Linked DNA regions of Saccharomyces cerevisiae S288C. The gene in region 4 interacts genetically with the main gene of each other region. Each region holds a gene or a part of one and is shown on either strand. Other genes may lie near its edges.

Region 1 (4,270 bases), on a different chromosome or scaffold from region 4:
CTAGGAGGGTCTGCGTGAATTGGCTTTCTTAGTTTGGACTTAATTGGACCTCTTTCATCAATAGGTTCACCGATAACGTTGATGATTCTCCCTAAAGTTTCTCTCCCAACTGGGACGGAGATAGGGCCACCAGTGTCAAGAACCTTTTCACCACGGACCAAACCTTCGGTACCATCCATAGCAATGGTTCTGACAGTGTTTTCACCCAAATGTTGAGCAACTTCCAAAACCAACTTACCTTGAGGTGTTTTAATTTCTAAAGCGTTCAAAATAGCGGGCAACTCTGATTGTTCAAAATGAACGTCAACAATGGCACCAATGACAGCGGTAACTTTACCGGTGATTGGAGTAGATTGAGCAGCTGAGGCCATACATCTTTTCCACGAAGTGGATAGAAGCGGAGCGGATTGTTTGGCTGCTTTAAAAGCAGCACGGGATGTAGCAGTATATAGTCTTGGCAAAACCATTCTTTTTTTTATTTTTGTTTTCTCTCAAAGATTCAGTATAAATTGGATAACAACAGACTAAAAAATGAAAGAAAAGAAAGACAAATTTGACTTGAGGAGGAGCACTTTTGTCTTCGTTTATGAGGGGGGTTTAGGTTGCTAAAATTTGTGTTACTGTTTGATCTTTGCAAAATTTATCCAATTGGCCTGTCCTGGAGAGATAAAGAAAGTTTAAAAAAGGGCAAGTTAAAATGTTTGTTCTGTAATACAAAAAAGAGGTTAATGCAAAAAGTGCGTTCTTTATAAGCGTTGTATCTAAGAGCTCGAAGATGGGAATATCCTTGCGCTGCTTGGCCGGCGAGGGGCCCACCCGGCACGCGCTTGGAGGTCGCCGTTGATTGGCCGCTATATATCGCGAATCACGGGGGTGTGTGTGCGACCCGGTGCGCCGGGTGGCATATGGGCGGCTAATTGCGTATAAGATGATAACATCCCAGCGCATCACGTGAAAGGAAATACATATATATGTGGCTTTATTACTGGTTTAGAGTATTTTTGTACTGTGACTACTACTGTATTTCATGTAGCAGAATACACAGCCTTTTACTTCTGTTCTTTCTCAAAGGTTCAAGAAATAGAATAGCCAAGTGCCATCAAGAACTCGAACTAACTTTCGTAGAAGGAGTAGTATACAGTCTTGCTTGTCACAACTCTTTCAGGAGCTTTCTTTTTAGTATTATACACGATCCGTATGCTCATCTCGTGATATAGAAGTAACGCATTGAATGCAAAGAAAGGCAGATATTTTACCCTAGGTGTAACCAGAAGAGATTAGGAGGGCTTAGGGCCAGTATTTTATCTGATGTAGGGCAAACGAGTAAAATGTGTAGGGTATGGGCTAATATCAAGGGCTTCGGACTTACTGCCCCGCTCACAGAAACAGCCGCACTAATTAATTTCTTTTGTGTAACGTTAAAGTAACCCTGGAATCATCATTGAAAAATTATCATCCCAAGAGACAGAGATGTGCATGTTGACAACGCAGGCTCAATGTAGAATAAGATCTGACTACTTAGTCAATTTTACCTCTAGATCATATTAACTAATCTCATCTTGCACAAAAAACGTATCACTATCATGGAGGAAATTCCTGCCCTGTATCCAACGGAACAAGAATTCAAAAATCCGATCGATTATCTCTCTAACCCCCACATTAAAAGGCTTGGTGTACGATATGGTATGGTCAAGGTCGTACCACCAAACGGGTTCTGCCCGCCACTTTCTATTGATATGGAAAATTTTACTTTTCAACCAAGAATTCAAAATCTGGAGAACCTAGACCTGAAAAATAGGTGTAGGCTATTTTTTATGAAACAGTTAAATAATTTTAAAAGATCCGTTAAGGATCCATCGAAACTTATACTTAGGGAACCTTATACGATTGTAGAATATTCAGATTCTACTCATGCATCGGAAATACTAAAAAAAAAAGTGTACTTTTATGACGTTTTCTCTGAACTAATAAAAGACAATCGGACACTTACTGACACTACACAGTCATTCAGGCGAAAATTGAAATTTAGAGATATTTCCCAATTAAGAGGCGACATCAGTCTATGGAGGACCATTTCTAAAAAATTCAACGTACCAATCGGCTTGTTAAAGGAAATTTTTGAGAAATATATTGCCTCATACTACATATTTCTTCATTCACTGAACGAGAACGTGCACACGGCGCTGCATGCTGACCAGTATCCAAAATCCTTATTAAGTGATGACGAGGACGATTTCGATCTTGGGCCAGATTCGAATTCTGGGTCGGATTTTGAGGAGGACGATGATGATGCTTGTATTGTTTGTCGCAAGACAAATGATCCAAAAAGAACAATTTTATGTGATTCATGTGACAAACCATTCCATATATATTGTTTATCACCACCTTTGGAACGTGTTCCCTCTGGCGATTGGATTTGTAACACTTGTATCGTCGGAAACGGATATTACGGATTCACTCAGGACACGCATGACTATTCTCTACCAGAGTTTCAAGAATATTGTAAACGTCAAAATTCAAGGTTATTACCAGCACGAAAACTGTCTATAGATGAGTTGGAAGAGATGTTTTGGAGCTTAGTGACCAAGAATCGTCGCAGTTCATTAACGACAGTTAAATACGGTGCTGACATACATAACGAATTGCCAGGTCAAATTACCGGCTTTCCGACGAGAGAATTTATACCCAAAAATATAAATGGGGACGAATTGATAGACTACCTCAAATATTGCGATCATCCTATGAATTTAACTAACTTGCCTATGGCTCATAATTCGCTATTACCGTTATTTAAAAGAAATATTTCTGGCATGACTATTCCTTGGATTTACATAGGCTCCTTATTTTCCACATTTTGTTGGCATATGGAAGATCAGTATACCCTAAGTGCTAACTATCAACATGAAGGTGACCCTAAGGTCTGGTACAGCATTCCCGAATCGGGATGTACGAAATTCAACGATCTATTAAATGATATGTCACCAGACTTATTTATCAAACAACCAGACCTACTGCATCAGCTAGTGACTTTAATATCTCCGTACGATCCAAATTTCAAGAAATCAGGTATTCCTGTGTACAAAGCTGTGCAAAAGCCCAACGAATATATTATCACGTTTCCTAAATGTTACCATGCTGGTTTTAATACAGGTTATAATTTTAATGAAGCTGTCAATTTTACTATAGATTTCTGGCTACCATATGGATTTGGTGCGATTACGGATTATAAATTAACTCAGAAAGCATGTGTTTTTGATATGTTTGATTTAATGATCAATGTTTTGGACAAGTACAATAAAGATACTCTATTGTTCAATGATGCTTTTGTTAGGCAATGTTACTCTTCATTGATCGTCTTTTATAATACTGAATTAAAACGCATACGGAAAATTCAGGCCATTGTACCACGGACAACTCTTTTGGAGGTGCATACTGATCCAAACGATGAAGATGAGGAATACGATATATTTTGTTCCCAATGTAAGACTATATGTTCAATAGCCTTTGTATTGCGAAAGAATAACTATGATTCAATTAGAACGTATAAAAGACACAAGAAAAACCATTTAAGTATTAGGCAGTGGAATGAACTATCCACGACGGACAGTAAAGTGAGTATCCTGTGTACGCAGGATTACTTAAAATCAATACAAAACTTGAACAATAGCGACGGTGAAGAACCTTATATTGACGATGAATTGTATTTCACTAAGTCTTTGAAGGATATTGACTCTTTAATAAAGCAAGTTGGTGTTAAGTTAGATAGATAGTCTTCAATATTTGTGTATGGCGTAATGATTTTTTAGAATAATACTTGGCATTTAGCACGCCACTTTTAGCGCGAAAACACCAAAAAAGTAAAGAAAATAATGTCGATCAATCTTTAAAGAGAGACAATTGAATGGTAGTGTAACAATTTACAACATAATAGAGTATCGCATTCAGCAAAAGTAAAGAATAAATTCTAAGAAAATGGCTCAAGCCTTGAACTCCACCAATATTGCTTTTTTCAGAGTAGCATTTTTATTCACGATCGCCTTCTTTTGTTTAAAGAACGTTAATTCTATTTTGCAAAATACATATTTCATAGTCTTAACGCAAGCGATGAATTTACCGCAGTTAACACTGTCACGTTATAGTGGTCAATTGGGTCTTTTCGCTCTTCTGTTTACTCTTAACGGTGTTCATGATCTAATTCCCCTGTTAGAAAACAATGTTAAATACTTCCAATCTGTTGTGCCAGTTAGATTACTAATTTTTTTTATTTTGA
Region 2 (8,522 bases), on a different chromosome or scaffold from region 4:
GAGGTAATTCTTCAATAGGACCGAATGATCTCTCAAAAAGAAAGCAACGAAAGAAGCAAATCCATGAATATGAAGGTGTTTTGGAGGAATACTATTCTCAAGGCACAACAGTGGTTAACTCGATATCTGCACAAATCTATTCATTATTGTCTGCTATCGGAGAAACAAATCTTTCAAACCTGTGGTTGAATATACTTGGTACGACCTCGTTAGATATAGCATATGCTCAAGTTTACAATCGATTATACCCCTTATTGCAAGATGAAGTGAAGCGTCTCACACCAAGCAGTAGAAACTCAGTAAAGACCCCTGATACATTGACGTTAAACATCCAACCGGATTACTACCTTTTCTTACTGAGGCATTCTTCATTGTACGACAGTTTTTATTATTCTAACTATGTCAATGCCAAACTATCCCTATGGAATGAAAATGGGAAAAAGAGATTGCATAAGATGTTTGCTAGAATGGGTATACCATTAAGTACTGCACAAGAAACATGGTTATACATGGATCATTCTATTAAGAGAGAACTTGGGATAATATTTGACAAAAATTTGGATCGTTATGGGTTGCAAGATATAATTAGAGATGGGTTTGTTAGAACTCTTGGATATCGTGGGTCCATAAGTGCCAGTGAATTTGTCGAAGCACTAACAGCTCTTTTGGAAGTAGGTAATTCAACTGATAAGGATAGTGTGAAAATAAATAATGACAATAATGACGATACAGATGGAGAGGAAGAAGAAGATAACAGCGCTCAAAAATTGACGAATTTGAGAAAAAGATGGGTTTCGAATTTTTGGCTCAGTTGGGATGCTCTAGATGACAGAAAGGTGGAACTATTAAACCGTGGCATTCAACTAGCACAAGACTTACAGAGAGCAATTTTTAATACCGGGGTTGCTATATTGGAGAAGAAATTAATCAAGCATTTAAGAATTTATAGATTATGCGTCTTACAAGACGGACCCGATTTAGACTTGTACAGAAACCCATTGACGTTATTAAGATTAGGAAATTGGCTCATAGAATGCTGTGCGGAATCTGAAGACAAGCAATTGTTGCCCATGGTGCTTGCCAGCATAGATGAAAATACGGACACTTACTTGGTTGCTGGGTTAACACCTAGGTATCCTCGCGGACTAGACACGATACACACAAAAAAACCTATTTTGAATAATTTCAGCATGGCGTTTCAACAAATAACTGCAGAAACGGATGCTAAAGTGAGAATAGATAATTTTGAAAGTTCCATAATTGAAATACGTCGTGAAGATCTTTCACCATTCCTGGAGAAGCTGACCTTGAGTGGATTGTTATAATCAAATTTATATTATTTAGTCGTACATATATACCAGCATATGAATATAAAATCTAAGCTTTTTCAAGCTTTTAAGTCCAACTTTTCTATAATAATACCATATTTTGTGCGCGGCTCTTGACAAAACAAAAAAAAAAACCTAAATAAAAGGAAATTAAGAACAGGGAACTAGGTTTGGAAGGACAAATTCAGGAAGGAAAGAAATAGCTGTGACAAAGTAAGATGAACCAAAATGGTGATAAGAACGAAGGCAAGTTGTTTCAACTACCGTCATTGCCGCCCTGGAAAACACCAAGGTTCAACAAAGCCAACTTTAACAATTTTACCACACCGCTACGGAAAAGGTCGACAAGGGTAATAAATGATGATTCGATGCCCATAACAGGCGAAGTACTAGAGGAGAGGACTGCAGATGATCTCTATGGGATAAATATGGACGTAGACGAAGTCGACTATCTGAATACTTTGAGCCACATCGAGGAAGAAAAGCAATACGATTATTCACCGTTTTGTGAGCGCAATACGCTAAGGGAAAGTAGAATTGACAGTTTTTTGAAAGCCGAAAGGGCAGCACATTGTCTTGTGTTTCATAAGGTGGGCCATCTAGACGGCATAGACAGCTATCGACCCGATATTGACATCATGTGCGGCGAAGAGGCTAATAAATATGACAGTGCGAATCCGGAGGGCAATGGTTCAATGTTGTTAGAGAGTGTACCTGGATGCAACAAAGAAGACCTGGAGAGGTTATCAAGGCGAGAATTTGTAACAAATTCGAAACCTAATATGAGACGGTTGGATGACATAATAAATCATGAAACGAACGCCTTAAAAAGTTTCTGGAACGACTCAGGATTAGTCAATTCACTCCAAAGTCATCATTTGCATGAAGAGTACCTTCTTTTGCAAGAAGAATTAAAGAATGTGTACAAGATTAAATGCCATGACAGAGTGCCAATAGAAAGTCTACGCGATAAGTGCAGAAGACACTATAGCAACGAGGATAGTTCGTTTCTCTGACAGAGGCAATGCCTTTTTTGCTTCACGTGTATATATATCAGTTGATATGCGTTTTCTATACAGACATACATGTATATACACACATATATATATATACATATGTACGCAGAGATATATTAAATGGGGGTTCTAGTTTCAACAATTTGATCTTTCAGTTTCTCGTCCCATTCCAGTTTCTTCTTCTGTATATAAGCGAAGACATCAGACATTCCAGTAGGGTCTATTTCCTGCGTCTTGATATATGGCATACCATCCCTAGAGGTAGCAGAACCGTATTTTACGTCTTGTTTCTCAAAGTTTGGATTGGCCAATCTAGTTACGTATACTGGGGCATTGGCAGCTTTATAACCATCAATATTGTGCCATGGAGACCCCAACAGCCTGGCCAAATAGAACAAGCATAGCATGCCGAAATAGGTGAAAAAATTCAAATATTCGGAGAAGGAATGGCTTGTAAATATGCCCGGTTGAACTACATACTGATTTATGCCCAGCTTTTTCAAGTCTTTGTAGGTGGCCAAATGCAGTAAATCAACTAAACGCTTGGAGCCCTCATAAGAGGCATTTGTCTTTAGTAGTTCAATATCGTTCAACGAAAGATACTTAGGATCGGACATAATACTCGAAATCCAAACAATATAAGCCTTTCCCCTGGTCAATTGAGGCAGAATTTTACTGATAAAGTAGTACGGACCAAACACATTGGCCTGGAAAATAAGCCCCATGTCATCTTTAGACTTGACGCCCACCAGTTGTATCTTGTATGTCGGATTTGTCACTGCCTCCAATGGATTGGTGAAAACCTCCTTGACCGCTCCGATCCAATCTATACCGTCAAAGATACCTTGCGCAGCATTCACGAAAAGGTAGTTTATCGCCCTGTACTTTTTGTTGATGTCGTAATATGCGTTCAAGACACTCACCATGTTGGTGAAGTCCACCAACAGATAATCAAAGTCTATTTCCAAATCCTCTACACGGCCTGATTTGTTGTAAAAATCTTTAATCTGGTTAATCACCTCCTGCACTCGAGGAAGCGTTCTAGAAGTCACCACAATGGTCAATCTGACATTGGTGTCCTCAGTTTCAATCAGACGGAACACAATGTTCAGACCAAGATTACTATTAGTACCCGTTACGATAGCTACTTTCCTGTTCATCCTATCCTCCTACTTTTTCTCTTTGCTACTTTTTTTCGACACAGATCATGTGCTTGTTTCTCGTCCTATCTTTTAAATACCTGCTCAATTCAAGATGCCGTTCTTTCGTTAAACGACCATAAATAAAGGCCCACGTACTATCGGAGATAAAACAACGGGTGTGCGAAAAGTGCCATTTATCTGTTATAACTGCTATATGCGGATACATAAACAACAAACACTTATACAAAGTGTTCAATGAACCTACTCCATAGAGTCTTGGCCATTCTCCTACCTATATACTTGCCCAGCAGGGGCAGCAGGACCCAGTTGAGCAGCTTGTTCAACTGTTGCAGCGACTCTTCCCATTGACGCTGTGCATCTGCGAGCTCGTTGCTGAGTGACGTGTCCTCGTCGCTGAGGTAACCATCTTCTTCCAGGCCCTCCACGCTGTTGATTGTGTCGATGCCCTGCAGGATCACAGAGGTATCCTCGCTATCTGCCATGTTCTAGTTATTGTTGCTCGTGCAGTGATGTGCTGTGGTGCTGGGGAGTGGTTTGCTCTGCCGATCTTGCTTGTAACGGCCGGCCGTTAAATGGGCCTTCGGGGTCCAAACGAGGCGCGGTTTCGTGAATCTTGCTTGGCTGTTTTTGGCTTGTTAATCCCAATTTGCGATAGTTTACGTTTCCACGGGGCACTGCTCAACGGGTTTAGTTCCGTGGAGCAGATGTGTTGCAGATACTAGTTGATATTTATGTTGATGTTGATCATTCTTGTGGCACAAAAGTATAAATAAAGCAGCGTGCTCTTTTTTGTACGTGGAGTAGTAGAAGTATATTCGCAGGTCTTTCTCTCATTGTTCAGGACATATACATACGTAAGCGTAGTTTTCTTCAGTAGAATGTGGACAAACACTTTCAAATGGTGCAGCAAAACTGAGAAGGAGACCACTACTGCAGACGCCAAGGTGTGTGCTAGCGTGCAGGGCCTGAAGGCCCTGCAGCAGCAAATTATGGATAGCACCACTGTGCGTGGGTCCGTTAATAACACGATGACTCCAGGCGGGATTAACCAGTGGCATTTCCACAATAAGCGTGCGAACAAAGTGTGCACGCCTACAGTACTAATCCATGGATACGCTGCCTCGTCGATGGCGTTCTACAGGACGTTTGAGAACCTGTCAGACAACATTAAAGATCTATATGCCATCGACTTGCCAGCCAATGGTGCCTCAGAGGCGCCAGCATTGCAAGTGAACAAAACCAAGAAGATCAAGTCTCTCAGGTTTAAGCATATAGAAGATGACGTAGTAATCCCTGTGATAGAGAAGCGCCCCCCAGCAGAGGACATCAAGTCACACCTGGAGCAGTACGAAAGCTACTTCGTAGACAGGATAGAGCAATGGCGGAAGGATAACAAGCTTCGCAAAATAAACGTGGTGGGCCATTCATTCGGAGGATATATTTCATTCAAATACGCCCTCAAGTACCCTGATTCCATTGAGAAACTGTGTCTCATATCTCCTCTTGGTGTGGAAAACAGTATACATGCTATCACCCACAAATGGGAGCCCAACACCACCTATCCACTTACGTTTACCGACCCATCGTCCCGATATTATACAAGAAAGCTGAACGTACCGCGGTTTATCTTTGAAAACCAGCTAAACGTTTTGAAGTGGATGGGACCCATAGGCTCCAAATTGTGCTCGAACTACATCTCCACCGCATACGTAAAAGTTCCGGATCAGATATATAAGGACTATCTTTTGCACTCATTTGTCGGGAAGAACCAGACGGTGCAACCACAGACAATCAAGGTGTTCACCCATTTGTTTGAAAGGAATCTGATCGCTAGAGATCCGATAATAAACAACGTTCGTTTTTTGAACCCAGCAACGCCTGTCATGTTCATGTATGGCGAGCACGATTGGATGGATAAATATGCGGGCTACTTGACTACTGAATCAATGCTAAAAAACAAGGCAAAGGCTAGCTACGTTGAAGTCCCTGATGCTGGCCATAATCTTTTCCTGGACAACCCGCAGCACTTTGCCTCTTCTTTAGTCTCGTTCCTGTCAAAGTAATGCCTATATAGAGTAGAGAAGAAAAATACAATATGGAAAACCACGCATATATATATATATATATATAAATACATACATATACATAATACATCACTTTACTTAACCGTATACAAGATAGAGCAACATATACATCAAGAGTGTAAACCTCTCATATGTGAGCGGATGTTCCGATCCATCCCGAACGAAACAAAGCAAAATCAACAAGTTGACATCGCCGTAAGTTTTCAAAAATAGCCCTTTTAAAACTCGAAGCTCTACACAATCGCAGCAATGATGTTGGAGCCTTCACCTCCACCTTTAACAACAACGGTAACACCCTCCCTTCCGTCCAGTTTAAAGAAATCTGTGACAGATAATGACCAGAATAATAACAACGTGCCCAGGAAGAGAAAACTAGCATGCCAGAATTGCCGTAGAAGAAGAAGGAAATGTAACATGGAAAAGCCTTGTTCAAACTGTATCAAGTTTCGTACCGAATGTGTATTCACTCAACAAGACTTAAGGAACAAAAGATATTCTACGACTTACGTAGAAGCTTTACAGAGCCAGATTCGGTCTTTGAAAGAACAGTTGCAAATATTAAGTTCCTCGTCTTCCACAATTGCTAGCAATGCTCTCTCCTCGTTAAAAAACAACAGTGATCATGGTGATGCTCCTAATGAAAAAATCTTAAAGTATGGCGAAACAGCACAATCAGCACTACCATCATCTGAAAGCAACGATGAGAATGAGTCTGATGCGTTCACCAAGAAAATGCCTTCCGAGAGCCCTCCACCAGTTGGCACAAATAGTATATATCCATCAAATTCCTTGTCTATAATAAAAAAGAAGACGGATGGAAGCACAAGATATCAGCAACAGCAGGTCAGCCTAAAAAATTTATCAAGAAGTCCCCTTATCTTAAGATCGTTGTCACTCTTTTTCAAATGGCTATACCCGGGACATTACCTTTTCATTCATAGAGAAACTTTCTTAAGTGCTTTCTTCGGTGATACTAACACTAAAAGTTACTATTGTTCCGAAGAATTGGTATTTGCAATCGCTGCATTGGGATCTTTGATTTCATACAAATCAGAAACTGAGCTTTTTCAACAATCTGAAGTGTTTTATCAAAGAGCCAAGACGATAGTACTCAAAAAAATTTTTCAACTGGAAGATTCTTCGTTAGCTGAATCGTCGTCCTCTTCGAAATTAGCAATCATCCAGACTCTATTGTGTTTGGCATTTTATGACATTGGAAGCGGAGAAAACCCCATGGCTTGGTATCTTTCTGGGCTGGCATTTAGGATTGCCCACGAAATCGGCCTACATTTGAATCCAGAAGCATGGAGTAATGTTTATGAAGACGAGCTGTCAATAATGGATTTTGAAGTGAGAAGTAGAATTTATTGGGGCTGCTACATTGCTGATCATTTAATAGCGATCCTCTTTGGAAGATCAACTTCCTTGCGTTTGTCCAATTCCACTGTTCCAGAAACAGACGAGCTACCTGAAATTGAGACTGGTATAGAGGAGTACATATATGACCCAAAAGTAATATTGTCCACTGCAAACCCCTTGAAGAAACTGATTGTGTTATCGAGAATAACGGAGATTTTTGCATCCAAGATTTTCAGCCCAAACGAAACTCTACTTCAAAGGAGTGAATACTTGGCCAAATTTAATCTGGAGGTATACAATTGGAGAAGGGATTTGCCCCCTGAACTACAATGGACCAAGAGGTCATTGATGGAAATGACAGATTTTAACCCAACCATAGCTTACGTATGGTTTCATTACTATATCGTGCTAATTTCCTATAATAAACCTTTCATATACGAAATCAAACAAAGCCGGGAATTGGTTGAAGGTTATGTTGATGAACTGTATTATCTTTTAAAAGTTTGGAAAAATAAATTTAAGACGTTTGAGAAGGCCACAATTTACATGATTTATTCTGCGATTTTAGCCATCCAATGCATGAAGTCCAACTTGATTAAAAAGGATAGAAAACAAGACTTCTTAAATTTTTTAAGTGCGCCTACCCTGAATTACGAACTTGCTAGAAAATTCATAGAAAACTCTGAAGATGCTTTGCATAATTCAGAAACTATGGATTTATTAGGGACTCTATCTCACGGTAACGATTTTGCCTTAGAGTACAATTTTGACTTTACTTTATTGAATGAGATTGATATGCTGATTGGTGGAAACACCAATGATGGTTTGTCGAAGTAATCTTGAGTGAAGAGGATATGTTTACTTGAACAAATATTCTTTATGTAATGTGTTTGTAGCCTTTTTATTTGGGAAGGAATATACCGCTATCCTTTCCCACCTCCGAACTTATCGATTCGGAATTTTAAAGAGCCTTCCAAATGACAAAAAAAAGGATTGTAGTTCCTAGATAGCGAAATCGACTGAGCAAGATAAAAGCAAACATTCCCCATCATCTTTGGCGACGACACATGTGTTCCATAAGCTAAACTCAAGGAGCAAATGATAGTAGATTATGAAAAGGACCCTAGGGCTAAAGAGGCTATTGCTATTTGGGAAAAAGGTGTACTGAAAGAGAAGGATGGGTCAATGTCAGATGCTATAAACTTCTATCGAAGTGCATTGAAAATCCATGATAATGTGGAATCACTGTACAGAAAAAAAATACTTGATGAGTGGATGCTGCACAAAAAACTATCGGGATTATCAATGACTACTGATGCTCCAGATGAACAAAATGAAACCGGTAAAGATGACTTATCTGTTGAAGAAAATGCTGAACTTCAACCCTGCTGGATTCTGGAAATCTTGCCTGACGACATTTTACTGAGAATTATTAAAAAAGTTATATTAATGTCTGGTGAATCTTGGGTGAATTTGTCGATGACTTGTTCCACCTTTAGCAAGCTTTGCTTCCACGATTCTGTGCCATTTAAAACTTTCGCGAAGTACATATATTCTAAGCAAATATACGAC
Region 3 (7,594 bases), on a different chromosome or scaffold from region 4:
TTAGGACGCTTCGGCGAGCTGATGTCTGACTTCTCGTTGTATCAAAGAGCTCCCAATACGCCAGCGCATTTAAACTATGATCACGGAATGCTGGATTAGTAGTATAGCAAAAGTAACACTTGTCCACCGCAGACTCCATCACTTAGTCAACACCTTGGGTGTTTTACCGCTGATAATGGCCGTAAAATCGCCAGATATATATCATCATTGTTCTTCGCGAATAATACGTAACACAGTCTCTTTTCGAAATTTAGATGAGGACCATAGGCATGACTTATTTACTGAGATGTCCCTGCGTTAAAACTTTTACTGGCCGATTGCTAACTTTATATTTGTTAATAAAACTATTCACGCCTGTGTCCTAATTGTTGGATAATACCTAAACAATAACGATGTTGTATAGCTAAGAGGACGACCAGACAAAAAGTTATAAACTTTACCCTCGTTGAAAATGGGGCAGCCACCTATGAATCACTTCCCATTACAATGCCGAATAGCAAAATATGTAGTAGAACACGTACACGCATGATAATTACTTCCATGCTGTACTTATTTTTTGGGTGTCTCTTCAGAAAGAATGCTTTATATAACCATGTGTTTGAATTAGCGATCAGCTAATAACAAGTCAGTGTCCAAATAGTTAAAACATTGTGACCCAAATATCACAAATAAGTGGTTGTTTGGCCGAGCGGTCTAAGGCGCCTGATTCAAGAAATATCTTGACCGCAGTGAACTGTGGGAATACTCAGGTATCGTAAGATGCAAGAGTTCGAATCTCTTAGCAACCATTATTTTTTCTTTTTCCTCCTATACTTCATAATCTACGTAGGAATGAAAGTACCAACATTATACCAATGAGGGTGTGTTTCGTGGATGCATATACTCTGAAGATAAAAACAAACTCAAGTCCGCTTCCTACGGTTTGAGTATTTCTTACCACTACATAATAAAGAATATTACGTTAACTGTAAAATCAAGTAGACTTGGAAAATACAACGAGAACACTTTCCTGATTCTGCATCAGCGTTTTCTTATCACCAGCTGTACTTCTACATTAGCTAACTCTCCTTTCTATAAAGGGCGTCTTTCACTTCACTTGTGCCATGTTACAAAGCTCCAAACGCACTTCTAACTGAGTACAATGCACGATCCCACTGACAGACAAAACAGCTTCACAGAATTTGATCATGCCATCGTAAAAACCACGTAGTAAGGAATAAAAAATCCCGAAGTCGATCATACTATGTAGAGATGTACATGAATAGTCTAGGAATCTGGTCTTCCAGCATGTTGCTTTGGTCTGCTTCAAGCGCTATGGAAGCGCTCGCCATGAGATATGCTGTTTCAAGGCAAAATAGCAAAGCTCTTTGTAAAGAAATACAATTCAGAGAAGAAGCTACAGCATTTTGTTTCTGGATGATCCCTGCAGGTTCATACTACTAAGTAAATCTTGAACAGTTCAAATTTCAACAATTCAGAAACCGCTCTTTTTATATATACTCTACCAAACGAGATGAAACAGCATTTTTTTACTCTTATAAGGTACCAATATTTTGACGTATGCTTTCTTTAACGTTCACGATCGGGCTGGGCCATTAAACTTACCTTAGATATTATTTGGAACAGCACCGCAAGTGCTGATGTCCCAGAAATGGGCGCCGGTTCAATTAGGTCGTGAAGTCAGACATATGGAGACTCTCGGACTGAAAGCACTAAGGGATGATAGCTGGCATGCCAATTCCATTTTAAATTTACACATCAAGTTACAGGGTTTGGGAAAATCACGTTCAAAGCCTGAAAATTTGAGGTTGTTCACGGAAATCATTTGGTTATGTCTGTCGGCCTGCTATTTAGAGACATTTTTTATTGCAACAACCTACTCTATGCACTTACACGGAATCGCAGAATAACGCGCGCACAACACAATTGGGAAACGATAGGATTTTGAATAGTGTATTGCTTTGTACCGATTTAAATAATTCTTTCTCGTGTTGAATCCGAGTTGAAGATGAGTATGCTTTGAAGAGGTGAAATATCATCAGTAAAAAAAAATAACGACAACTGCAGGACTCGAACCTGCGCGGGCAAAGCCCAAAAGATTTCTAATCTTTCGCCTTAACCACTCGGCCAAGTTGCCAAAATTGTATGTTATTTGTTGTATCTCAAAATGAGATATGTCAGTATGACAATACGTCACCCTGAACGTTCATAAAACACATATGAAACAACCTTATAACAAAACGAACAACATGAGACAAAACCCGACCTTCCCTAGCTGAACTACCCAAAGTATAAATGCCTGAACAATTAGTTTAGATCCGAGATTCCGCGCTTCCACCACTTAGTATGATTCATATTTTATATAATATATAAGATAAGTAACATTCCGTGAATTAATCTGATAAACTGTTTTGACAACTGGTTACTTCCCTAAGACTGTTTATATTAGGATTGTCAAGACACTCCGGTATTACTCGAGCCCGTAATACAACATTATTTTCAGTGATAAAATATGTAAACCAATTATAAGAAAAAGGATTGCGTTGCATCACAACTGTAAACCATTAATTAAAAAGAGCAATTGCTATTTAGATTTGTTGCTGAGAATTGGCTAAAAAATCTGATAATTGTAGGACTTCTATTATTGCTAGGGGCAATGTGTTGGAATGCAATTCTGTTGGAATAAAAATCCACTATCGTCTATCAACTAATAGTTATATTATCAATATATTATCATATACGGTGTAGAGATGATGGCATAAGGTATGAAAAGCTGTCATCGAAGTTAGAGGAAGCTGAAGTGTAAGGATTGATAATGCAATAGGATAATGAAACATATAAAACGGAATGAGGAATAATCGTAAGATTGGTATATAGAAATATAGACTCCATTATGGGGATTCCTAGACCCTCGAGGAGAACCTTCAAGTATATTCTGTATACCTAATATTATAGCCTTTATCAACAATGGAATCCCAACAATTATCTCAAAATTCCCCCAATTCTCAACATCCGACTGCCATGCAATGTGCTTTTCTGGATCTCACTCATGATCATAATGGCCCTGTAAAAGGCTCGCACTATTATTATTATATCTTCACTATATATTATTTCGGAGGCTGTACCTATCAGTGAAAAAACGCCTCTAAAAATGAAAAAAAAAAAGAATATGAAAGGGGTTCTGAATTGCTAAAATATTTCGTCAAAGCTCAATTAGTATCATGATCAAGTCGTAATTCGAATCAGCATAACAACCTCCAAAACCATATAATAACCTTACACAAGACAAGATATCAATTCAACATGCAAACCCCTTCAGAAAATACCGACGTCAAGTTGGATACTCTCGACGAACCCAGTGCACATTTAATCGAGGAAAATGTGGCTCTTCCAGAGGATACATTCAATTCGTACTGGAGTTATATACTTAATGAAATCGCTCGTTGTAAACCGCTAATGATTATGTTCCTAATACCTGTGTGTTTGGTTTTATTGATTACGTTTTTTCATGATATCAAAGGTATCCTTGTGTTTTTAGTGATTTCTCTTATCCTCTCTATTATCATTTTATTGATCGGTATAACTGCCTTCGTGTCTGAGACCTTGAATAAGGGTTTCATAATTAAGCTTTTAGTAGAAGTCATTACACGTAAACCAGCAGTAGGGGGGAAGGAATGGAGAATAATCGCATATAATATGAACCAGTATCTGTTTGACCATGGGATATGGCATACTCCGTATTACTTTTTTTGTGAACATAGGTGCCATAAATTTTTCAAAAGCCTTATCAAACAGACAAGGTCGAATGCACATTTGAGTTCACCAACGAACGGTGCAGAGAATACGCAGTCAAACACACCAGCAAAAGAGGTTTCAAATGAGATGGTAAAACCTTATATCTTTAGTTCTGATCCAGTTTTAGAAGCTTACCTTATTAAAGCTGCGGAAATTCACAAAGAAGCTGAATTTGAGTATTGGAGAAAGCAATACCCAGAGGTTGATTTGCCTTAGGGCCGAATTTTTGGTATTTATCTAGTATATTCTAATATAAAATGTACGAGCATCATTAACTTCAAGAACATTACGAAGCCCGCAATTAAGTGTCAGTCCATCTGGGTGTAAAAGTTATGTACGCTCGAAACAAATTTTATGTAGTTTACTTTAGATGCAAATGCTATTATATATTTTGCTTTATGATCCTCGGCTTGATGCTCGCCAACGTGAGATAGCTGGTCATCACAATAGATCAGCCGGGACGCTTTTCGATCACATCGAATCCCTTCGGGACGTTGCAACAATACGTGAAAAATGCCTCAAAAATAATAAATACAATGGTGAACAACGTTAAAAAAGCATAAAACAGCTGGCTATTTTGATCAGGATAACATCTATAAGTGCCATATTAAGGCAAGATATCAATTGACCATGCAAACACCTTCAGAAAATACCGACGTAAAGATGGATACTCTCGACGAACCCAGTGCACATTTAATCGAAGAGAATGTAGCTCTTCCCGAAGACACATTCAGTTCACATCTGAGTTATGTACTTTATGAAATTGCTCATTGTAAACCGATCATGTTTATGATCATCATAATCGTGAGTTTGATCTCATTGATTGTGCTTTTTCATGATAACGACGGGTGCACTGTGATCTTAGTGATGTCCCTTATAGTAGCCTCCATGGCTTTAATGGTGGTTGCAGCATTCACATTCGGGAAAGCGATCACTGAACAGGAGTTCATGATAAAGCTTTTAGTGGAGGTGATCGCACGCAAGCCTGCGGGGAAGGAATGGGGTACTGTCGCATATAATATGAACCAATATCTATTCATGAAGAGACTATGGTATACCCCGTACTATTTCTATAGCGGCAAGAAGTGCCATGAGTTCTTCACCACTCTTATCAAGGAAGTGAATTCTGGTTCGCACTCGGATTCCTCATCGAATAGTGCCGAGGATACACAATCACCTGTCTCAGCAGGGAAGACTTCAAATGGTCTAAACAACTTTTATAGTATTAGATCAGACCCTATTTTGATGGCATATGTTTTGAAGGCAACACAAATAGAAAAGGAGGCTCAAAGTGAATACTGGAGAAAGCAATATCCTGACGCTGATTTACCTTGAAGCGGAAGCATTTTATTCACCAAGTATACTTACTTTTCTTTAAAACGAGAACAAGAATCGAATTCAAGAACATCTCGAAGCCAGAATTGAGCATCATATATTCGAGCTGTACAAACATCATGGCCTACAACTATCGTATTTGTAAGTTTTTTTAGAGGTTTTCATATTTGTTTAATAAGGGTTCTGTCAGTTTTTGTCACATTCTATTGTTGCGCTTCGCATAATGCAGCCAAGAAAATCCAAACAATAGAAAAAGAAAAAAAGGATCTCAAAAAGGGTTTGGTGTTGTAGTTATAAGAATAACTAGTGAATAAAAAAGCTGTTGTTTGGTCCGTATTACATTCGTCAAAAATTTAGTACTCAAATCGTGTATGCAATCGCAACCACAAAATAAAAATATTAGACTGGATGTGTTGAGTGGAGATGGTGCCAATTTAGTTGAGGGAAATGTGGTCCTTCCCAAAGACATGTTCAATTCGTACTTAAGTTATTCACTTTACGTGTTACGAGGGGGCTCATTGTAAGCCGATAATGATTATGTTCCTGGCATCTGTAATTTTGATTTCACTGACTAATTTCCGAGTATACCATCTCATGTCCCTTCTATCCTCTTTTTTCATCTCCGGGACAGACCGACAATAAAGCATCTAATATTAGGCTTTCGTTAGAGGTAAGCACACGCCAGCGTTCGGTGAAAGGGGAATGAAACATTATCACGTACAAGATGAATAAATATCTATTTGACCATAAAATATGGAGTACTCCTTACTACTTTTATTGCGAAGAAGATTGCCACCGTCTTTTTCTAAGTTTTATTGAGGGAAGAACTTTCGAGAAGCCAACAAGCAACGCTGAGGAAAATGTACAGGAGACTGAAGCTGGCGAATCTTTCACATTAAATCCCGGAGAAGATTTTCAAAATTGCTTTCCAAGACAGCGGATATTGTAGAACAATCTCAAGTGAAGTATTGGCAAGATATTGGTGCAATTATTTGAAAGGAAGGAGAAATATTCTGACAGTACCTTGCTAGCAAAGGGATTTACCAATCCACTGACGCTAAAATGGGGTAGTAAATTAGATAAATTGCATTCTAACGTGACTTTATATAGTGGGAAACAGATATGTAGCACACAAAACGGCATGATTATGCTTAATTGATTCCTATTTTTTAACGTAAATACTCTCCCAGAACGATCAGAAAACTTAACCCGCAACCATCTTTGCTGTGCTAACAACTTATGTCGCCTCAATACCATTTTTATTTTGTATCATTCCGGAACTTAGTATTGAATGAAAAATGCCTCCGAAGTAAAAAGCAGGTGATGAAAAGTTTCAATTGGTATAAGACAGATCGCTATTTTGATCCGCATAACATCCTTCAACACCATAGCAGAGCTATAGAGAAGACAAGATATAAACTGGGCATGCAAACATCTTCAGAAAGTACCGACGCCAAGTCGGATTTTCTCGACGAACCCAGTGCATATTTAATTGAGAAAAATGTGGCTCTTCCCAAGGACATATTCGGTTCGTACTTAAGTTATTGGATATATGAAGTTACTCGTCATAAAGCGGCAGTAATTTTGCTCGTACTTATTGTGACTTCAATTTTATTATTAGTGTTTTTTTATAATACGGAATTTTGCGTTGCCTTTGAGATACTATTGTTTTCCTTTTGCTTTCCAGGAACATGCATGGTTGTAATTGCATTTAGTGAACCGATCGGTGATCGGGAATTTAAAGTTAAGCTTCTGATGGAAATTATCACACGTAAACCGGCGGTAAAGGGGAAAGAATGGAGGACAATTACATACAAGATGAACCAGTATTTATTTGATCATGGGCTATGGGATACTCCCTACTACTTTTACCGTGATGAAGATTGCCACCGTTATTTTCTAAGTCTTATTAAGGGAAGAACTTTCAAGAAGCAAAAGGAATCGTCAGCCAGCAATGTTAAAGACGCACAATCAAATGACGAAACCGCTGGCACACCAAACGAAGCCGCTGAGTCTTCTAGTTTTAGTGCCGGACCGAACTTTATAAAGCTCCTCACCAAGGCAGCCGAAATCGAACAACAATTTCAAAAGGAATATTGGCGACAAGAGTATCCTGGTGTCGATGAGTTTTTTTAGACAGAAGACGGGAGACACTAGCACACAACTTTACCAGGCAAGGTATTTGACGCTAGCATGTGTCCAATTCAGTGTCATTTATGATTTTTTGTAGTAGGATATAAATATATACAGCGCTCCAAATAGTGCGGTTGCCCCAAAAACACCACGGAACCTCATCTGTTCTCGTACTTTGTTGTGACAAAGTAGCTCACTGCCTTATTATCACATTTTCATTATGCAACGCTTCGGAAAATACGATGTTGAAAATGCCTCTAGAGATGAAAAACAATCGTAAAAGGGTCCTGCGTAATTGAAACATTTGATCAGTATGCAGTGGCACAGAAAC
Region 4 (7,922 bases):
AACCTGACCTGCTAGTGTTCAACTAATGCATCATGGGTACTATAGAGAGCATTCTAGTGGTAGAAAAAAAAAAAAAAACAAACTTTAAACCGGGTAATATAAACTTCTCATATGGCTTTTCTCCAGGGAAAGAAAGGGAAGGGATACTTCAATGACGAAGGCTTAGATGACAAGCTAATACAGAAAGGGAAAGGAGCAGGGCATCGGAAGGAAATGTTGCATTTGGAAGATGACAATGGACGACAAAGGTCAGTGATAGCGAATTTGCAGAAATTCGTTTATTGCTGCCTGTACTTGAGGTTTATCAAAGATGGATCATTATTCTTGATCCTCCTGGGGTGGATAATTTCATCGCTCTGTGATTTCATTCAGGAATTGACACTCAGGTACCTGAAGAAGAACTATTTAGAGGTGGGCCGCGACAATGATCAGGAAGATGATGAAAGTCTTGCCATCAGAGGGTTAGAAACACCTATTGTAAGAATGATAATAAACAAAGCCATACGATATTACCAAGGCCTAATACTTCTAGAAACAGCGTACTGTATAGTATACCACATTAGGCTAGACGTATCGAGAGACATATGTTCCAAACCGTACGGATTTGTGATAATGCTTTTGATAAGGGAATTTACTTGTCCGGTACCCACAGCGTTTCCTAGCAAGCTACTTCTGGTACTACTCGATATTTTATTACTTTTCTGCCAGATTGTAATAATAAACGGCTCACTGAGCTCGAGTCTTCAGAACGTGAAACTTATTGTCAAGGAGTTGAATGCAGAAGAAGAGGGCGCACTCAACATTCTCAAACTTAATACCTGGCACATGGATGCAACCGGACCGGAACTCATAGTACTCAAGAATCATGACAAGTCGATTCCTCAACAGGCAGACGGGGATGACGCTACAGAGATCACTCCTCTACTGAATATCGCCGAATAAATTCAAGAAAGGAAAAGAAAAAAAATTACCAAAATGAAAAGAACGGAAAAAAAAGATGAACAGAAAATAAAACAATACGTGGTTCTTCTACTGTCCTTCCCACATCGCCGACAGAGAAAAGACAAGCAAAAAGATGGGCAAGAAAGCACACGGAGGAAAGATGAAACCTGAGATCGACGAAAATGGTACTCTGCTAGTACCGCCACCAAGGACGATTGCGAACCAGGACCATTTCCATAGATTAAACTACCTCTACCAAATATCCGCTTACCAAACAAGAGCAAGACAGAAAGCAAGAACAGACGCACATACGCCTTTGGCACGCAATTATATCAAATCAATGGACCTAATTAGTAAGAAAACCAAGACATCACTGCTTCCTACGATAAAGAGAACAATTTGTAAAAAATGCCATCGGTTGTTATGGACCCCAAAAAAACTGGAAATCACATCCGACGGAGCGCTTTCGGTAATGTGTGGGTGCGGTACCGTTAAACGTTTTAATATTGGCGCCGATCCTAATTACAGGACCTACTCGGAGCGGGAGGGTAATCTACTAAATTCTTAGGGTTATTGGTAGGGTTTTGGACCAATGTTTTGAGCAGGACAAAAATGCGGAGTTTCCAGATTTTCTTTAAGAGCCGACCCCCCACCCCCTTGCCCCTATACATGGGGTACGTGCCTGTATTTTGAGGGAAAACTACGACATAAAACACAGGGAAAAAAACGAGACGCCCGTTTGAAGAAGGTAATGTAGGATTCCGTCTTGCCAGCATAGCGGATAAACACCGCAAGGAGGTGTTGTGGTCGGTAATGAGTGGCACGAGGTGTTTGCTAGGCGTCGGACTACCAGTTGATGTGACTGCTACGGAAACTTTGACTCATGATGAACAAGGACCAGGTGTAGAGCCAGGACCGTGTTCGCGAGGAAGTTCTATAGATGGTCTGCTGCCCTCGTTGCTCGGTCCACATGATGATGTGGATGACGATTCGGCGGCTTTTCACAAGTACATGACACTATCGCGAGATGGCGCAGGCGCCATCCATGCTCCGTCATTAGTCGAAGACGCCTCAAGGAACGACGACGACGACGATGATGAAGACGACGACGACAGTTCCATGTCGCGAGACCTATCCAAGGCTCTAGATATGTCATCGTCATCATCGTCCAGCCCGCGCGTTCAAAGTCGGCGGCACCGTAGTTCTGTGAGCGCAATATCTGCAATCTTACACCAAGGAAAATCTGGCCGCGAAGACATAACTGGAAGCCTTAGCGTTCCGGCAGAACAAGAAAAACTCAGTTTTCTTGCCAAAGCCTCGAGTATTTTCTTTCGAAGGAACAGTATGCCCAGAGACAAACATACGCATTCAGTATGTCCCGCTAGCCGCCCAGATTCCGAGAGATTTATCGTCACATCTGCAGCCGCGCAGTCTTTACGCCGCCAACAACAACTGGAAGACGCTCAGTACGCTCGAGTTATTACAAACTTTCGTACTATAGGATGGTGCTCTCCCAGCGAGATAGAGTCTGTGGAATATAAACGGTCCTTGATCAATGCGGAGTGGGACGAAAAGATCTCGCTTTTGTCTCACGCGCAATGCTATAAATAATAAATATACATATATATATATTTATATGTAGATAGATGTGTGTATATATATGCTAGGTAAAGAAACGGAAAAATCGAAAAATCGAAGTTGGAGAGGAAAAACAAGACATCAGGCCCGCACGTTTCGCGGGCTACCTGCCCATGTTCCGTCTCTTAATGTCATTCAACAATTTCAAAGACTTAATCTCGTTAATGTCATTGAGCTTTGCTTTCCAAAACTCATTTTCCTTGTTCAATTGCTCTATACGATCGCGAAGTTTGTTGATTTGCGTGTTTAAGTTCTGCAGCTTATTCATGTTCTCAAAATTCTTTTGTTTCTTGCGAATGCGGAACCGCTGCGACGCCTCTGTGTTCTTTCTTCTCCGCTCTTGCTTAATCTTATCCAGTTCGTTAGAAGTGCTCACGGGAGCTTCCTCTTCTTTTACAACAACTGCTGTTGTTGCGGCAACCTTCCCCTTTCTCGGCTCGCGGAGCTTCTTAAACTGCGAGACATCCTGGCCATTATTTATCATGCTAATGAGCTCCTCCGCGTTGCCACTGCTAACCAGCAGCAATGATAGCAAGCGCGAGCCCAGCTCTGAATCGCTTGATATCAGGTTCTGTAGATGTTCCGAAAGATTGTTCACGTTCATACCCTTCCTGCTTGCAATGTCAATGTTTGTTGATTTCTTTTCCCACCCTTGTTTCGCACTCATATTGACGAACAAAACAATTTGTCTTCGTAACTACCACTGGTTATAAATAGTTAAATTCAAGTTACCTCGTGTTCTTAGTCATTGGCTGCCCGGCCTTGACTCACGCCAGTGACCTACAACTATGGCGTTTCCGCTTCCCGCCCAAAACTGTGGTGTTAGAAAGTAGAAAAAGGTGAAAAAAGCGAAACCTAAAACCAAAAAAAAAAAATAAGTCACGTGCACTCAGTACCCCTTCTATTGTATTTTAGTTTACCTATTGGGCCGGGCGGGCCCCACAACTGTGGCATCTTTCAGATCATTTTTTTCCAGAATGCATGGAACTGACGAGTGAACTTTTATTCCACGGAAAAGGACAAAAAGGTGCAGTAATGGAATGGTCTTTTTGCACGGCAGTGATGTCGCTATCATATCAATCACTGAAAGTGAAGTTAACCATATTACAACAAGTTCACACAACATAAACAGTGTAACTAGCATATTATCACAGTCATGGCTCTACCTCTGATAAAACCTAAGGAGTCTGAGGAAAGCCACCTCGCTCTTTTGTCCAAGATCCACGTGTCCAAAAATTGGAAACTGCCTCCAAGGTTGCCCCATAGAGCAGCTCAGCGGAGGAAAAGAGTTCATCGACTTCACGAAGATTACGAAACTGAAGAAAATGATGAGGAGCTACAGAAGAAAAAACGGCAGAATAGAGACGCCCAAAGGGCCTACAGAGAACGCAAAAACAACAAGTTGCAAGTGCTGGAGGAAACCATAGAGTCACTGAGTAAGGTCGTTAAAAACTACGAAACGAAACTAAACCGCCTCCAAAATGAACTTCAAGCGAAAGAATCGGAAAATCATGCCCTTAAACAGAAATTGGAGACCCTTACTCTGAAACAAGCCTCTGTGCCTGCTCAGGACCCTATCCTGCAGAATTTGATCGAGAATTTCAAACCAATGAAGGCGATACCTATTAAGTACAATACCGCTATCAAGCGCCACCAGCACTCGACAGAACTGCCTAGCTCTGTCAAATGCGGCTTTTGTAACGACAACACTACTTGCGTTTGTAAAGAACTGGAAACAGATCACCGTAAAAGTGACGACGGTGTGGCCACAGAACAGAAGGATATGTCGATGCCACATGCAGAGTGCAATAATAAAGATAACCCCAATGGGCTCTGTAGTAATTGTACTAATATCGACAAATCATGTATCGACATCCGGTCCATCATCCACTGAAGAGAGAGAACTTCTTAATACTTATAAATACGTCATTGAACAGCTCAACTTTTGTAACGTCAAAAGAACGCACATGAAAGGAGTGACATTGCTTTTTTCTTTGCAAGTTTATTACTGTGGTTATGTGTAAAGAATTAGTTCATGGACATTGGCCGCAGAGTGCAAAAGCGTTTTGGACACCCCGCCTTTGGTGTTCTCGCCGCCATATTTTGAGACGTTAGTTTCCGACGAATTGAGCTGAAGCGGTGGACATTATCTCAAGGTACCGCTTACTATGCCTATACATTCCTGCAATTTTTTTTTTTTTTTTTTTGATAAGTATTACTGGGTAATGGGAAGTATAATCACTAGGCATATTATTTTTGACGCAGAGGAGTGGCAGCCTGTCTACTATGTAAATGTAATGGTAGAACCGTTATTATAACGTAAAATAGATCGTACATAAGAAAAACTGGACGCAAACCATTTAAATCTAAATGCGAATATGCGTACTGATTATTAACATGATACCATAATTTAGATCTTTCCTTTTGAAAGTCGTGTCAAATTCTAGTATTGGCGGATGAGATCCTAATGTGCTAAACAATAGAGATAATGGGATCCCCGCAAATTTCATTTTTAAATTGCTTTCCTCTTCTGAGTTGAACACGAATTTTTGAGAATCTAGCTGTAGTTAGACGTTACGCAAAAGAAGCTTTGGCGCAAGCAAATCTCCTTCCATACTGGTCTCCTTTACGGCTGTACGAACACTACCGTAGTGACAAACTGAAAAACGAGGATTTGGTGAGCAGTCTGGAACAGGTAGATGAATCATAAAGCGCAGCAACCATCCTCGAACTGATGACAGTACGACTTTTCTCCAAAATAGATATAAAGAAAGGCTGGTTATTCGTGGAGAGTTCAGTCCTCCGTATCTAACCTTGATGAATTAAAACTCAGGCCAGAACAATCTCTTTAACAGACCTCCATACATACTCTCGGAGCTATATTTTAGTGCGATCAAACTGCGAATAGAATAAAGCAGACGCAAGAGGCAAATTACAAACTCTTGCGCTTCCTTTTTAGCGAGCTTGTTAAAGTAGGGTCTGAACGAGAGGCTGTCACAATTGCGTTGCGTTATGCAAAGGATATAACACGGTGCTGAAGTTAAACTGTGAAACTATACAAGTGGAGGACCCTTTGAGTTTTCTGTAGATAAAAAGGAGAATGTTTCAGAAGAGCGTCAGAGATCTCGAATGACAGATCGGTGGCTACCACGAAATCTTATAGGCGTTTCTCTGGGCTCCCTAGTTACGTATAGCGCTGACGTAGTTTAGAAGGGCGCGCGCATTTTTTCTATTGTTGCCTCTTTTCTCGCTAGCTGGCTTTTAGCATCATGTTCTGCGGATATTATTCTCCGCCCGGAAGGTTCGTGGAAGGCCTAGAATGAGATCTATCAATAACGCTACGCAGATTTCTAATGTTACATGTCACGTCGATCTGACATATATCTCCGTCAGGTTCGATCCAGACTCTCTGCGCGCGTACCAAGAGCTTTTTGTTTCAATAGGAACGGAATTTCCTTTATTGAATGTGGCAACGAACTGCGGAGGGTTATTAGCTTCTTGACACTTTCTTCGTCCATTACGTAGACCTAACGTTGAAAAGGAGACCTCGAAGAAATTTTAACTCTTGGCACCTCAGAATAAACAAGGTCATCTAGTGCGATGGCAATGCTTCAAAGTAAATGGAGAATTTCGAAGGCTAGCGTCTCTAGATAAATCTCAGCCTAACCCTTTTACACGAAGTTTTCCCAACAAAAAAAAAAAAAAAAAAAAAAAAAAAAAGAAGGGCGGTTGTCTTTGGCATATCGCGAAAATAATAGATCTTATCAAGGGGTTTTTAAGTCATCCTCTGATTATTGGAAGTCATAATCACGTTCAATGGTGGGAGGCCTTCGGAAAAGAAAAGAAAAGAAAAGAAAATTTTCTCAATCTGAAACAGTCTCTTGTTTACGTTACACTGGCAATTTTAACGGCGAGACTCATCTGAAAAAAGCTATTCGACTTAGTCCTGTGTTTTTCATTACAGATAATCCTGATCAACGGGTGTACGTTTTTCCATTTTAGGTCAGTATCCTCCCTCTGTGTTTCAAACTAAGTATAAGCGCCCACCCTAATTCGCTCGTATCCTTGTGTCAACTTCTTTGCTGCTCTGCAGCTGTAAACAGTTTTTGCGATAAGCCTCACATATGTCAGTGCTGTAAATACCGGAAATAGAAAGTCACTGTGGTCTGTACCCTCATTTGATTTACGCGGTTAGAAAAGTGGAAACTCTTTCTTAACCGTGTAAATCAAGTATGTCATTTCAGGAAACTTCCTCAATTCTTGGCGTACTATATTGAGTTGCCAATGTATGAGAGTGGTCGATTTCAATCGGCAACATTCTATCTCGCAATTACGCAATAAAAATTGACATGGTATGTTATTTTCATCCTTCGGATTTTTCAAACCATTCTGTTATAAGAGATATGTACCATCAATCGCCGACAGCGATACCCTCTTTAACCTCTAGTAAGAAGGACCCGGCACTTATTGTAATACGTTTAGGGGAAGTAGGTAAATCTGGACCGGTAATACGGCATAACGATCCATTTCGGACATCGGGGACATTTCTTTTTTTTCCTTTATTATTTTTTTTTTCTAATGTCCTTACGAATTTCAGGCTCTAACCTTATTTCTTATTAGGACGTGTACTCATTGCCATCGCAACAATAAAAATAAAACATTAATAAAAAATTAATTAGAGCCTGTAACATAGAGATCAACGCTACTGTAGCGTTAGAAGGACAGTGAGAGAGTGGCATGACAATTAAAGTTTCTTCCGATTACTTCATGTCATCTGCATTACAAAGGAAGGAAAGATGTTTCGAATTATTTCCCCTTTAAGGTATTTTTGATGTGAAATTTGACCCCATACTGTGAAAATCAACTGCTAAGAACTCTGTGATCTTCTAAGATAAAAAGGCGGGCCCCTTTTTTCTTCTATATCTATTTATTATCTAAATATGCTTACATAAGCAAAATATACCGGGGTAGTTAGTGCACGCGGGGAACTACCTCTTTCTTACCGGATCTTGCCGCATCCTTTTTTCTGTTCATTCTCAGAAAAAAGAGGCTTTTTTTCGTGAATACAGTCCGAAGAGCACTAGAATTTCGGACCGAAATTAGTAATATCTTCTGTACGAAAAAGGAAGACCCCTTTTCGTACAGAAGCCTTGGTCAATCAGAACAGGCAACGTTGTTTTTTCTACTCCGGAATTTTCTGAGCGAAGACAATCGGCCCTGAAGAGAGGATCAATCGTGGAAATCTACATCGTCCTCAAGAATTTCTAACGAGACTTCATGTCAAAATTTAACTTTTTTAGCTTTTTTTTAAGGTTGGCCCGCCAAAATCGTAAGTCTCGGTG

The links.
Region 1: mutations in YIR016W (region 4) and JHD2 together harm fitness more than expected from each alone (negative genetic interaction), as found in Saccharomyces cerevisiae (2 studies listed by BioGRID).
Region 2: mutations in YIR016W (region 4) and ICT1 together harm fitness more than expected from each alone (negative genetic interaction), as found in Saccharomyces cerevisiae (2 studies listed by BioGRID).
Region 3: mutations in YIR016W (region 4) and KTD1 together harm fitness more than expected from each alone (negative genetic interaction), as found in Saccharomyces cerevisiae (2 studies listed by BioGRID).

Annotation. Positions count from the first base shown.
Region 1 is NC_001142.9:643,804-648,073, reverse strand, and holds JHD2 (histone demethylase), read left to right. Parts: upstream 1-1,583; coding exon 1,584-3,770; downstream 3,771-4,270. Other genes in the region: ATP2 (F1F0 ATP synthase subunit beta), read right to left, coding at 1-467; DMO1 (Dmo1p), read right to left, coding at 598-948; ILM1 (Ilm1p), read left to right, coding at 3,973-4,270. UniProt on the Saccharomyces cerevisiae protein: Histone demethylase that demethylates 'Lys-4' of histone H3, thereby playing a central role in histone code. Demethylates trimethylated H3 'Lys-4'.
Region 2 is NC_001144.5:336,792-345,313, reverse strand, and holds ICT1 (lysophosphatidic acid acyltransferase ICT1), read left to right. Parts: upstream 1-4,385; coding exon 4,386-5,570; downstream 5,571-8,522. Other genes in the region: DNA replication initiation factor CDC45, read left to right, coding at 1-1,325; APC9 (anaphase promoting complex subunit 9), read left to right, coding at 1,547-2,344; ERG27 (3-keto-steroid reductase), read right to left, coding at 2,461-3,504; MIM2 (Mim2p), read right to left, coding at 3,726-3,989; CHA4 (Cha4p), read left to right, coding at 5,841-7,787; SCF ubiquitin ligase complex subunit HRT3, read left to right, coding at 8,049-8,522. UniProt on the Saccharomyces cerevisiae protein: Lysophosphatidic acid acyltransferase involved in membrane remodeling leading to increased organic solvent tolerance. Involved in resistance to azoles and copper.
Region 3 is NC_001133.9:180,467-188,060, forward strand, and holds KTD1 (DUP240 family protein), read left to right. Parts: upstream 1-4,425; coding exon 4,426-5,130; downstream 5,131-7,594. Other genes in the region: DUP240 family protein UIP3, read left to right, coding at 3,304-4,011; DFP2 (DUP240 family protein), read left to right, coding at 5,855-6,079; pheromone-regulated DUP240 family protein PRM9, read left to right, coding at 6,370-7,266.
Region 4 is NC_001141.2:380,873-388,794, forward strand, and holds YIR016W (uncharacterized protein), read left to right. Parts: upstream 1-1,755; coding exon 1,756-2,553; downstream 2,554-7,922. Other genes in the region: VLD1 (Vld1p), read left to right, coding at 214-942; ribonuclease P protein subunit RPR2, read left to right, coding at 1,076-1,510; MET28 (Met28p), read right to left, coding at 2,684-3,247; YAP5 (Yap5p), read left to right, coding at 3,737-4,474; YIR018C-A (uncharacterized protein), read right to left, coding at 4,692-4,829.